2 linked regions of the Schizosaccharomyces pombe genome follow. Changing the gene in region 2 together with the main gene of any one other region gives a genetic interaction. Each region holds a gene or a part of one and is shown on either strand. Other genes may lie near its edges.

What was found. A genetic interaction does not mean that the proteins touch.
Region 1: mutations in mug73 (region 2) and ani2 together harm fitness less than expected from each alone (positive genetic interaction), as found in Schizosaccharomyces pombe (one large-scale study listed by BioGRID).

Annotation. Positions count from the first base shown.
Region 1 is NC_003424.3:4,326,647-4,330,161, forward strand, and holds ani2 (FKBP-type peptidyl-prolyl cis-trans isomerase), read right to left. Parts: upstream 1,823-3,515; 5' UTR 1,726-1,822; coding exon 637-1,725; 3' UTR 501-636; downstream 1-500. Other genes in the region: SPOM_SPAC27F1.10 (uncharacterized protein), read right to left, coding at 1-147; dolichyl-diphosphooligosaccharide--protein glycosyltransferase Ost1, read left to right, coding at 2,458-3,515.
Region 2 is NC_003421.2:619,845-627,295, forward strand, and holds mug73 (transporter mug73), read right to left. Parts: upstream 4,684-7,451; coding exon 3,763-4,683; 3' UTR 3,672-3,762; downstream 1-3,671. Other genes in the region: msy1 (MS ion channel protein 1), read left to right, coding at 180-3,215; RNA-binding protein mlo1, read right to left, coding at 5,644-6,381; rpl1202 (60S ribosomal protein uL11), read right to left, coding at 7,368-7,451. UniProt on the Schizosaccharomyces pombe protein: Has a role in meiosis.

The sequences.
Region 1 (3,515 bases), on a different chromosome or scaffold from region 2:
AATTGAAAGCCAATAAGGAACCAGACACTTTGGTGCCTTTCCAGTTTGAGATTTGTACGGTATAAACGAATTGATGAGTTCCATCAGCGTGGATTTCAATAAAGCATACGCAGTAAACCATGGGTAGATCGATCCAGTTAATTGCATCCTACTATGTATAATTTCTTTTTTTATTCTAAATCAACTTGCAGTAGATAAAATACATGAGAGATATCGCGAAAACCAATTATGAAATCTCAATTAAAAAATTGAGGGAATAAGAGTATTTAGTAGCCTTCTTCATATAATAAATTCACAAATACAAAATTTTCTAGTGGCTCCACCAAATATCCGTAGATAACTAGTAGCGATTGTGCTTTCCCTCACTCATGTTTCAAGACAACGACTAATAAAAAAAGTGTTTTATTTATTCTGATGCCCATTATTGCTCACACATCTAATTCTATCATCAGTTTAAAAGAGTGCTCAAGATCCTCACCTTACTGCGACCAATTAGTTGTCTCAGTAACATACATATTTCTACTAGAGTGCTTACTTTACCTCAAAATAATTCGAATAATATTCAAAAAATTTGCTATTCCGTAATTTCCAGACCCAACTAAACCATAATTTTTTTATGAACCAAACTACACAAAATTAATTAACCGCTAAAAGCTTTACGTCAAAAACCAAATCTGAATTGGCTGGGATACCTGGAAGACGTTTAGAGCCATAGGCCATGGCAGCTGGAATATGAATTGTACGTTCTCCACCTACTTGCATACCCACGATACCAACGTCCCACCCTTTTATCACTTCCTCGAGTCCAAGATTAAAAGTAAAGGGCTTTCCGGTAATGTTTTTGTCAAATACCTTTCCGTTAGTAAGACGACCTATGTAACGCATAGAAACGCGCTTTTTGCGCTTCGCAGCTGGTCCGTCACCTTTAACTTTATCTTGAACCGTAACGTTTCCTTCAAGTACTTGCTTAGGATAAGTTTTTGTAGACTTAGATTTCTTCTCAGTTTGTTCTCCTTCACCGGCGGGTTCGGTCTTTCTCTTTTTGCCGTTCACAGAATCTGATACGTCGACAGCAGTTTTCTTTTCTTTCTCTTCCTTTTTAAGCTTATCCTTGGAATGCTTTTCAGCAACTTCATCCTTTGGAACAGGCTTTTCTAAAATCTCTTCTTCTGCTTGCTCGGCATCCTCTTCGTCACTGTTCAACTCCTCTATACGAGCACCATTTTCTTCCTCTTCTTCTTCGCTTGATGTAACGGAAATATCATCCATTTCTTCTTCATCGCTGCTAAATTCATCTGCTCCATAAAGAAAGTCATTCTCGAGGTCACTACTATCCTCCTCCTCCGGAATGTTTGTAATTATGCATGTTCCGCTCAAATAAACCGGAATATCACCACCAACTCGTTCAAAGAAAACTTCTTCTCCAGGAGAGAAAATAATGTCAATTGGTTGCTGGTAAACCGAGCCCTTTTTAAGGGTGCATAGGGTAAATTTTTCTTCTTGAAAAAGTTCTTCGTCACTTTCTTCTCCATCTTCTTCGGGGTGCTCAAGCCTAGTGATCACGTTTACTGTAACGGCATCATTTGATTTAGCTCTAGGATCCAAAGCTGCCATCGTAAAACGAACAGATAATTCGCTACGAAAGCCTTTATAAAAGTCTTCATCGAAAAGAGGAACACGCTCCTGATCCACTTTAACACTGTAAAGGGTCTCTTCCTTACTCATTTTGTTTATTTAGAATAAATAAAATCCAAAAAGATACGCAATAGACGATGGGAATCACAGAAATTCACCACTGGTATATCAGAGTAGAGTAAGTGTTGATGAAAAAATTGTACCAGTAGCAAACCTTTATGACGCCTTAAGTAATGTTATCTCGCCTATTCATAAGCTTATTATTACCGAACCAAAACGGAAGCGTTAGAAGCGTTTTTCAGTTTGATGCATTCTCAATAGAAAATTTTAAAAGGTACAAATAATTAGCAGTAGGGGTTAATCTTCATGTACTTTCGTTCTTTACTACCAATACTCAAATAGCAAGTCGCCGTCATCTTCATTCGTGATCTTAGTAGTCAAAGAGAAAAAGCCTGGTTATTTGTGAAAATTTTCTTTAAAGTTCAAGAACGGAACATAATTATTTTAGCATTAATTTAACGGAGAAACTACTATTTATTCGAATATCTAATTTTACTTAACAATTTTTTTTAATCGGAATGTGTATACCGAACTAGTCCACCAAGTCATTAAAGATATTAACGAGTGTATACACACTACGTTGTGCATATTGTTGGTTTTTGGGCTGGCAAACCTAACCTGAACGTATTACCGCTCTTTAAACGCATAGCCTCTTGAAGGTTATCTGTAAACAGCGTTTTTCAAGGTTGTAATAAATTCATTTATTACCTATTCTAAAACAGTGTTGAGCTTTCCAAGTTTCACTGGTTGCGGGTTTCAGAAATGTTAGTTCTCAAGCTATTGTTGTGGTCCATCATATCTGGGCTCAGTTTAGCTGAGCAGGTATGGAGAAATAGTAACGCGATTCGTACGATTGATTTACGCTCCACTTATACCAAAACTCTCACTTCTTTAATTATTGTAAATGAAGGAGATGAGCCTCAAAATACATATCGCTACTTTCAGCAGACCTCACCTGGCGAAAGTGTCTTGTCTCTCTCCGTATCGATAAAAGAGGAAGAAAAGAAAGGAACTAACCCTATAAAAGTTAACAACAATGTTTATGATATTCCTTTACAACCTCCTGTCAAACCTGGTGAATCTCGTACTTTATTAATACAGGCAGGTTTGGACGGTGGTGTTCGTCCTTTACCAGCAGCTGTGGATCAAGACGAAGAACAATATTTGGTTTACCTGACAACCCTTTACTTAGATAGTCCCTACACTACTGATCTTCAACGCACTCGTCTTATACTCCCTTCTGCTAAAATTGACACATATACTACGTATAATATTGATGGAGCTGAACTTCCCAATCGTGTTGGCAATACTTTGGTTTACGAAAGCCGTGAGACTATCACCGGGGAGGACAATGATTTAGGTGAAATCTATGTTCGCTATGAGCATACTGTACCTATTCCTCGCGGAGCTGATCTCTATGTTCAAATTGATATGCATGAATACCGAAAAATGTTAGAAGTCTCGGAGCGTGTGGTTTTTGAAAACCATGCTGCCAAGCTGAAGTCCAACTTCGATCGTGCCAAGTGGTATATGGGAAACTTTTACAATCCAGTTTCTACTGCTATTAATCGAGTCGTCTATAGTCTTCCTAGAAATTCCAAGGATGTCTACTATACCGATGAGGTGGGAAACATTACCACATCTCATATGCGAGTTGAGCCTCACCAGACATGGATCGAGTTAAATCCTCGCTATCCTGTATTTGGGGGATGGAACTATTTGTTCCAATTGGATTGGAAAATGCCTTACGAGGAGTTCCGCTCTTCCAAGAATAGAAGGGAATATCTTGATATTCCTCTGGCATGGTCACCTGGTGACAT
Region 2 (7,451 bases):
TTTCTTTTCCTCTGGACGATAGTTTCTTCTCATTCCTTTCATCATATTCCCTATTCCTGGTAACTCAAATCAATTCATCCTTGTCTGTTTTTCTTTTCCCTTTTTCATTTAAACCTTTTCAGACAGTTTCTTATTTTTTAAATTCTTCATACTTACGGTTTTCGCTCGCTCCTTTAATCATGTCTTCTCCTACTTCTCCTACTTCTAGTCCTGGTCGCCATCATTGGTCAAACTCGAAAGACGGTATGCCGCCAGAGTATACTAATCAGGATCCCAATTCTGATCAAGCTGATAACGAAAACTCTGATGCCAAGGCTCACCAACCTCAGCATTCTCCCCAGCATTCTACAGAAAATCAAGGTCATACTGGGACTAGTGATACTTCGTCCCTGGAAATGGAACTATCAAAGTTGCACCCAGAATCCAAACAAAGGCAGTTGCCGCACTCTCCTGAACATGAGCGATCTCGATCGCCTATTGCTTCTGTCGTCTCATATCGCTCGCACATGACTTTGGAAGATGAAAATCAGATTTTTAATGCCGAAATGGCTGTCCGTGGTTCTCAGTCTTTGCAAAGACGTCCTACCGGCCGAAGTGTTCGCGGATCTATGCGACGCCTTTCTTCCCATCGTTCTAAATCCATGCGTACCTCCAAGTCTAAAAAGTCGGGCGATTATGAACGTACTGCGGAGAATGAAGAAGCCGCTCAAGAGGCTGAGAATCATTTAGACAACTTTGGTGTAGTGACGTTTGGTACTGAAGCTCCTATTAAGGCTCCGGACCATCCTGTAACTATTTTTGGTCGCATATTCAAATTTATTCAACAGCGAAGCTTTTACCTTCGTTCGCTCATTTACATTATTCCTCTCGGGGTTTTACTCTTGATTCCAGTATTCATTGGTCGCTTTTATCACCCACAACCTCCTTACCGTGATGAACTAGGTCATGAATATGAGCGCCATTTACACGTTGGAGGTGTTGATTTGATGTGGATGGCCATCTGGTGGGAAATTATATGGCTCTCTATATGGGCTGCTCGCTATGCTGCCAAAGTAATTCCTTATTTCTTTGCCTTCTTCGTCTCCTTCATCAGTAACAACGTTACTAAATGGAGATGCATGGCAGTTGCCCTTGAGTTTCCTATTACATTGTTCCTTTGGATGTTAGCTGTATATGTCAGTTTCCTTCCCATTATGACCCGCCGTCATATTGGTGATTATGGTGTACCTGATCATGTACGCGTAAAACTCCCTTGGCAACAGAGCGCCAACAATGTACTTATCACTTTATTCATCACCTCAATTATGAATTTGGTGGAGAAAGTACTTATGCAGTTGATCGCCATGTCGCTTCACCGTCGTGAATATGAATCTAGAATCCTTTACAATAAGTTTGCTATTAATGAACTCGCCCGTTTGTATGGATATGCGCGACAGCGTTCTTTTGATTTCAAAGATGCTATCCATCGTGCTCAAGCAGATGTTTTTAAGTTTGCTGATCACCAACATGGCAAGAAGCGCGCAGCAGCTGCTCGGGTTGCTCAGAATGCATTGAATAAAACCACTTACAAAGCTATCTCTGCATTCAACTTCGCTACGGATATGGTTAACAAAGTGGCTGGTGAGATTACTAATCGTGAGGTCGAAAAATCTTCTTCTCCTAAAAGTGTTGTGCTACACTTGTTAAAGACCACACGCGGTTGTCAATCTCTAGCTCGTTGCTTATTTGAGGCATTGGTGAATCCTGAGAATCCCGATTTAGTACTGGATGATTTTATTCCCGTATACACCGATGAAACTGGTGAAGTGGATAATGCCACCTTAGAGGCATGTTATTCTATTTTTGATCGTGATCTAAATGGTGATATCACCTGTGAAGAAATTGAACTCGCATGTGTGGAAATTGGAAAAGAGCGTAAGAGCATTTCTGCTTCACTTCGTGACTTGAACGATTCCATTTCTAAGCTTGATGGTATTTGCATGTTTATAGTGGCTGTCATTACTCTTTTTATTTTCTTATACTTGATTGCCCGTAACTTTAGCGGTGTACTTACCTCTGCTGGAACTACTTTGCTAGGTTTGTCTTGGCTGTTCTCCGGCTCCGCACAGGAATTACTTAGTTCTATTATATTCGTATTTGTGAAACATCCTTACGATGTGGGCGATCGTGTCGATGTCATGATCAATGGCACAGTCACTTCAGCGATGGTCAAGGAAATTTCCATCATGTCTACCGAGTTTCGTCTATTGACTGGAAAAGTCATTCAAGCTCCAAACAGTTTGCTGAACACCCTTTGGATTTTGAACATGCGTCGTAGTGATGGCATTGCTGACCCAGTCACCGTTAACCTGAAGTTTGGAACTACTCTTCAGCAAATTGAACAACTGCGAATCAAAATTATTGATTTTTTGAAAGAAGAGAAGCGTGATTATAAACCTGACTTACTAACTGAAGTTACGGATTTACCGGATCTCTATTCCATGTCTTTGTGTGTTGTATTCTTTCATAAATATAACTTTCAAGACGAGGTTTTACGTATGCGTCGAAGAAATATGTTTATGTGTGCATTGATGACTTATATGCAGGAATTGGATATTGTATCTCCTATTTTCAACAGCCCTGGTAAATCAAAGGATTCACCTATGTATGTCAACTTCAACAATGGTTCAATGGAGGGTGTTAAGTTATCTGGTGGTAATGATGGTGGTGGTACTGAAAATCATCGCGACAGCACTGTTGGCGGAGGAATTCTGAAGAACCCAAAAGCATATCCTTACCGCGAACCTACTCCTCCTGGTAGTTCAGATTCCGATACCGCTAGTGTTTCTAAAAAGCGTGTTGACTTTTCCCTTGGAACACGGCATCTGATGCCTGCTTTTGATGATGTTGCTGATATTGGAAGTAAAAGGCTTGGTCGTGATAGTCTTCCCGATGCTGTCATTGAAAACGCTGGCACAGAGGCCATGCGACGCGAAGCTGAGGAACGTCGCCGAGCCGAAGAGGAAGAGTACGAACGTTCTCAACAAGAATCTAGTTCGAATGAAGAAAACGAAAATGCATCGCGTACGTCAGGTGCTCGTTTTAGCTTTTCCTCTAAAGCTAGTCGTTTGTCGGCTAGACCCAGTGCTCGTACAGTTCCTCCGTTGCAGCATATATCAATTCAAGACTTACGTGAGCCAAACGAAAATAATACTTCTAAGTCTGCTCGACTTTAAATACCCATAACACTTTGCAAACTTGCATCGCTCATGCTAGTTTTACTTACTTCATTCGTTGAAAGTGGCTATTTACCATTTTGGGCACTATTTGTTTCTTTTTTTTAGTTTTTATTTATTATTCTATGAAATGTTTAAACGTATATTGTATCTCAACAGCAAATTTTTGTATTAATATTAGCTATGCCTTGTAAAGTTTCGTAAAAGTTATGCAAATGATTTACGAATAATCTTAAACTAAAACTAGTATAATGCTTTTTTCACGTAAACAATGACTCACCGTCGTAAATTTAGACGTTTCAAGTGCGAATGAACGTTAATAATTGTTCAAAGGTTTCGTTTTTATAATAATTATTTCGTTTTCATAATCGTAATTTTTCACGAAAAAGTGTTTGTGTTTTAGAATGCCAACGAAATTCTCGTAGCGAAACTTCGAGTTTGTTTTAAACATTCAGGAAACAAATAATGATTAAAAAACAAAAAAAAAAAAAACGGAAGGTAAATTTCTATAACTAAGCAAAGATAACTGCAACGATGCGTACTGTTATTAGCAATTATTTTTCGTAGGTGAAGAAGGTAAATTGGAAATTTGAATGCGAGTTTCAACGGCCAAATCATCAGCTTGGTTTTGTGCCTCCATGTCCGGACACATTGAAAACTTGTCATCAGCAGGACTGCATGCCCCTAAGGGTATCGATTGAGGCGATTTAAAGTTTTCAATACCAACCAAGTCTAGCATCCAAGAAAAAGCAGCGCCAAAAAAGCCGAATTCGAAAAGATCTAATATACTGTAAAATATGGCTTCTCCAATTGGCGAGATAACATTGAGGCCCTCAGATAAAATCCAACATGCATAATAGAGGAACCAAATGACATGTAAGTAAACAATTGACCATAAAAACCCTAGGCGCGCAGACGTCTCTAAACGGCTAGCATACTTTTTATGCAAAACGACTGAGTGTGCCAATGCAATAAAATAGCCTACAAACGAAAATCCGTAATAGGCCCATTTATAGGGAGATGAAGTTAATGCTGCCGCCAGTAAGCAAACAATCGCAAAAAGCACATAGCAAACGACATATGCAATTTCTAGTATAGATACGCCTACCGTCCAATGTAGCATTACGATGATTAATGGGAAATTGATTAACCATTGAATATAGCGAACATAGTAAACCATTCGTACACTAACTTCTCGAAAAAAAGAAGCAGAAGAAAACACATTTTTCAATCCATAATTGCAGGCCATGGTAAAGTAGGCCAAGCAAGAAACCAAACTGAGGATGGAAAAGAAACGGTGGTAAGTCTGCTTTTGAGGCAAACTGAATATCGATACTAAAGGAAAGACAATTGCGCACAGCAGGAACACTGCAAAAACAGCCCAATAGTAGTTTGAGCTTATCTTTTGCAAAGCGACTTCCGGAAGCTCTTTCAGTACCATTCCGGAGGAAGATAATTTCGCATTCATGATGCGTAAACAGGATAGAGGCTGGATTAAAAGATATAGAAACAACTCTTATATTCTTAAAGGTAGCGATACTAGTTGAGTTGAAAAGTCAAAACTTTGTAATAATGGGTAGCTGAGACACGGTGAAGGTGGCTCTGAGAAAAGTCGATTAAAAAGCCATGTTTGTAAACAAACAAACTTCAACATGTAAACAAACAATGATGTTACTCTTTCCCATTAAAAGGCATTTTAATTGACTCTAATTGAGAAAACGCAAAAGAACATTACAGCCAGCAATGTCAAATTTTTCACTTTTTCTTACTTACCGATGACAGCAAAACAGGTAAAGTCGCACGTTACAGAAGAAGTCCGAAGTTGAGAAACAAAAAGGTATAATAAAAAAATAAAATTCCAACCTGTAGAAAATAGTTTATGTACAAAAATTAAGAATTTCGACATTGTTGGAAGTAAAGGTGGATACATCATATAAACATTACAATCCTTCTCTTTTTCTTAAATACAAATAAGCTCATCAAAATATATACATATGGATAGCAGAGTGGAAAATCTTTGTAACGAATGTGTATGTCAAAACGATTAGAACGAAGAGTTTTTTAAAAATGGAAAACATATGAGTATAGGTAACTATTAAAGAATTCGCCTAGGAAATACTTACATCACGCCCCAAAAAGCTATTAAAAAAATAAAACCGAGTTTTCACAGATGTTTTAAAACACACCTAAAAGGTAGGATTGAAATTAGAAGCGTTTAGGGCTCCAATATCGGATGCTTGTACTCGGATAAGTTGTTTAAAGTGAAGCAAAAGTCTGGGTATAATTTATATACACAAATAGGAATTCAAAAGTTCTAATTCATCAAAAAAGCATTAAGCATACAAATAAAGCATGGCATGAGGAGAAAACTTCAAGAAACATGAGTCATATTGTAAAATAAGAAGTTAAAATATGTTAAATGGTTACTTTAATTCTTGGCAGCAACACCAAAGCGCTCAGCACGCTTCCTAGCTTTTTCTGCCTCTATAGGGTCGTCCAAAATATTACTCTTCCGCTTGGATGGAGCACTTTTAGGAGGCGCATTCTTATTTCTTTGTTTAGAACGTGAGTTGGAACGATTTTGAGGGTTCTTAGATTGATTATGGTTTTTGTTATTACTTGACGCTAAAGGTTGTTGAATGCCAAAACGTGCAGCACGAGCAGCTTTCTTAATTTGTTCATCGTCCACAGGAATGCCAAATCGTTTAGCCCTTTGGATGAGTTTTTCTTGCTCTTTAGCTACATCTGGGCTAGAGACTTCATTAGATACACTTTGTTTGGATTCCTCTGTGGTTTCTTGATGCTCTTCAGCACCAGTGGAAGTTTCAGGAGCTTGTGAAGTCTCTTTCGAAATAATGCTTTCATTTTCCTTTTCAATCTCTACAGCAGCGGCAGGAGCACTGGTCTCTTTACTTTCGGGTTCTGCTGGCTTGTTAACGTCAGTTGAAATAGTATCATTCTCCATGTCTCCCCAATCAATATCATCCTCGGGAGGAGCAAGATCTCCTAGATCTGTAGCGTTGTTATTCGAAGTATTTTCATCGTTACTCTCGGTCGCTGCTGTCAATCGGCTTACCAATTCAGCTTTGTTTCCAGCAGTGGAGAGGCCTTTCTCCGCAAGTTTTTCACGCAGTTCTGCAACTTTAAGACTCTTGTAATCTGACATTATGAATATAGACGTATATGCGCGTCAAAATAACACGTTTATTGAATTCGGGATATACGCAGTTGACAAGGGTGAATATGTACGAACCAGCCAACTTTAGTGAGACATGTTGGATGCGCAAATGAAGCGTAGTGAATTGGAGTGATGATTGTGTCAAACATAGTGGTGCTATTTTGCGTATCGCTATGTAATGTTTACTGTGCTATGGTGAGGAGATGGTTCAAAGAAAATGTCTATAAACGATGTTGGGATATACTTTCTCCCTTTTATATGAAATGTACGAATCAAAATCAGTAATCAGTTAGATTATTTAATATTTATTTTTTACTTTAATTAATCGTAATTTTGAATTGGCATTTTAAACCGATTTCTAGAATACTAAAAGAGCTTGAAGAAAGAGCAAATCATTCATTCGTTCCTTACAAAGTTATTATTATAGTTTACTTGTAGATAGTGAAAAAACTCCATTTATTGAACTGGGTATTTGCTGCTACGTTTGCTTTACCTTACTATATGCTTACAACGATTATGAACTTAACAGGCAATTATTAGTTTAGTATCTTAGCTCAAGAGCAGTTGATAGTATTCAAAAATAAAAACAAAATCACATGTAATTACAGTCATAGTTTAATGTGTTAAAACGGACCATTCATCAAGTATGAACATTTCTTTCTACCATTCCAGGAAATATTTTCATGAATACAATTTATAAAAACCCGACATCAACAACAAATAATATCATTAAAGCACAATTAAACTACAAGCGCCTTAACGTTTACAACTTTTAAATTAAAAGTATCCAGTGCAAAATTTTGGATGTTTTCCCGGATGTCAGATATGCAAGAGAAACCTATATTAAACACTGTATTTTTTGAACCCTATAAAAAGATAGCAAAAACATCAAGATCTAAACATTGCTGTTTTATACAAAACCCGTATACTACCAAGCAAGCACATAATCCGTTTACATTAACTTATGTATGCGATTATTCTTGGGGGATCTCAATTTCGCCATTGTCGATCTCCTTTTGAACGTCGTGAGGGTTCTTGCCGTCAACGGTGCAACCAAC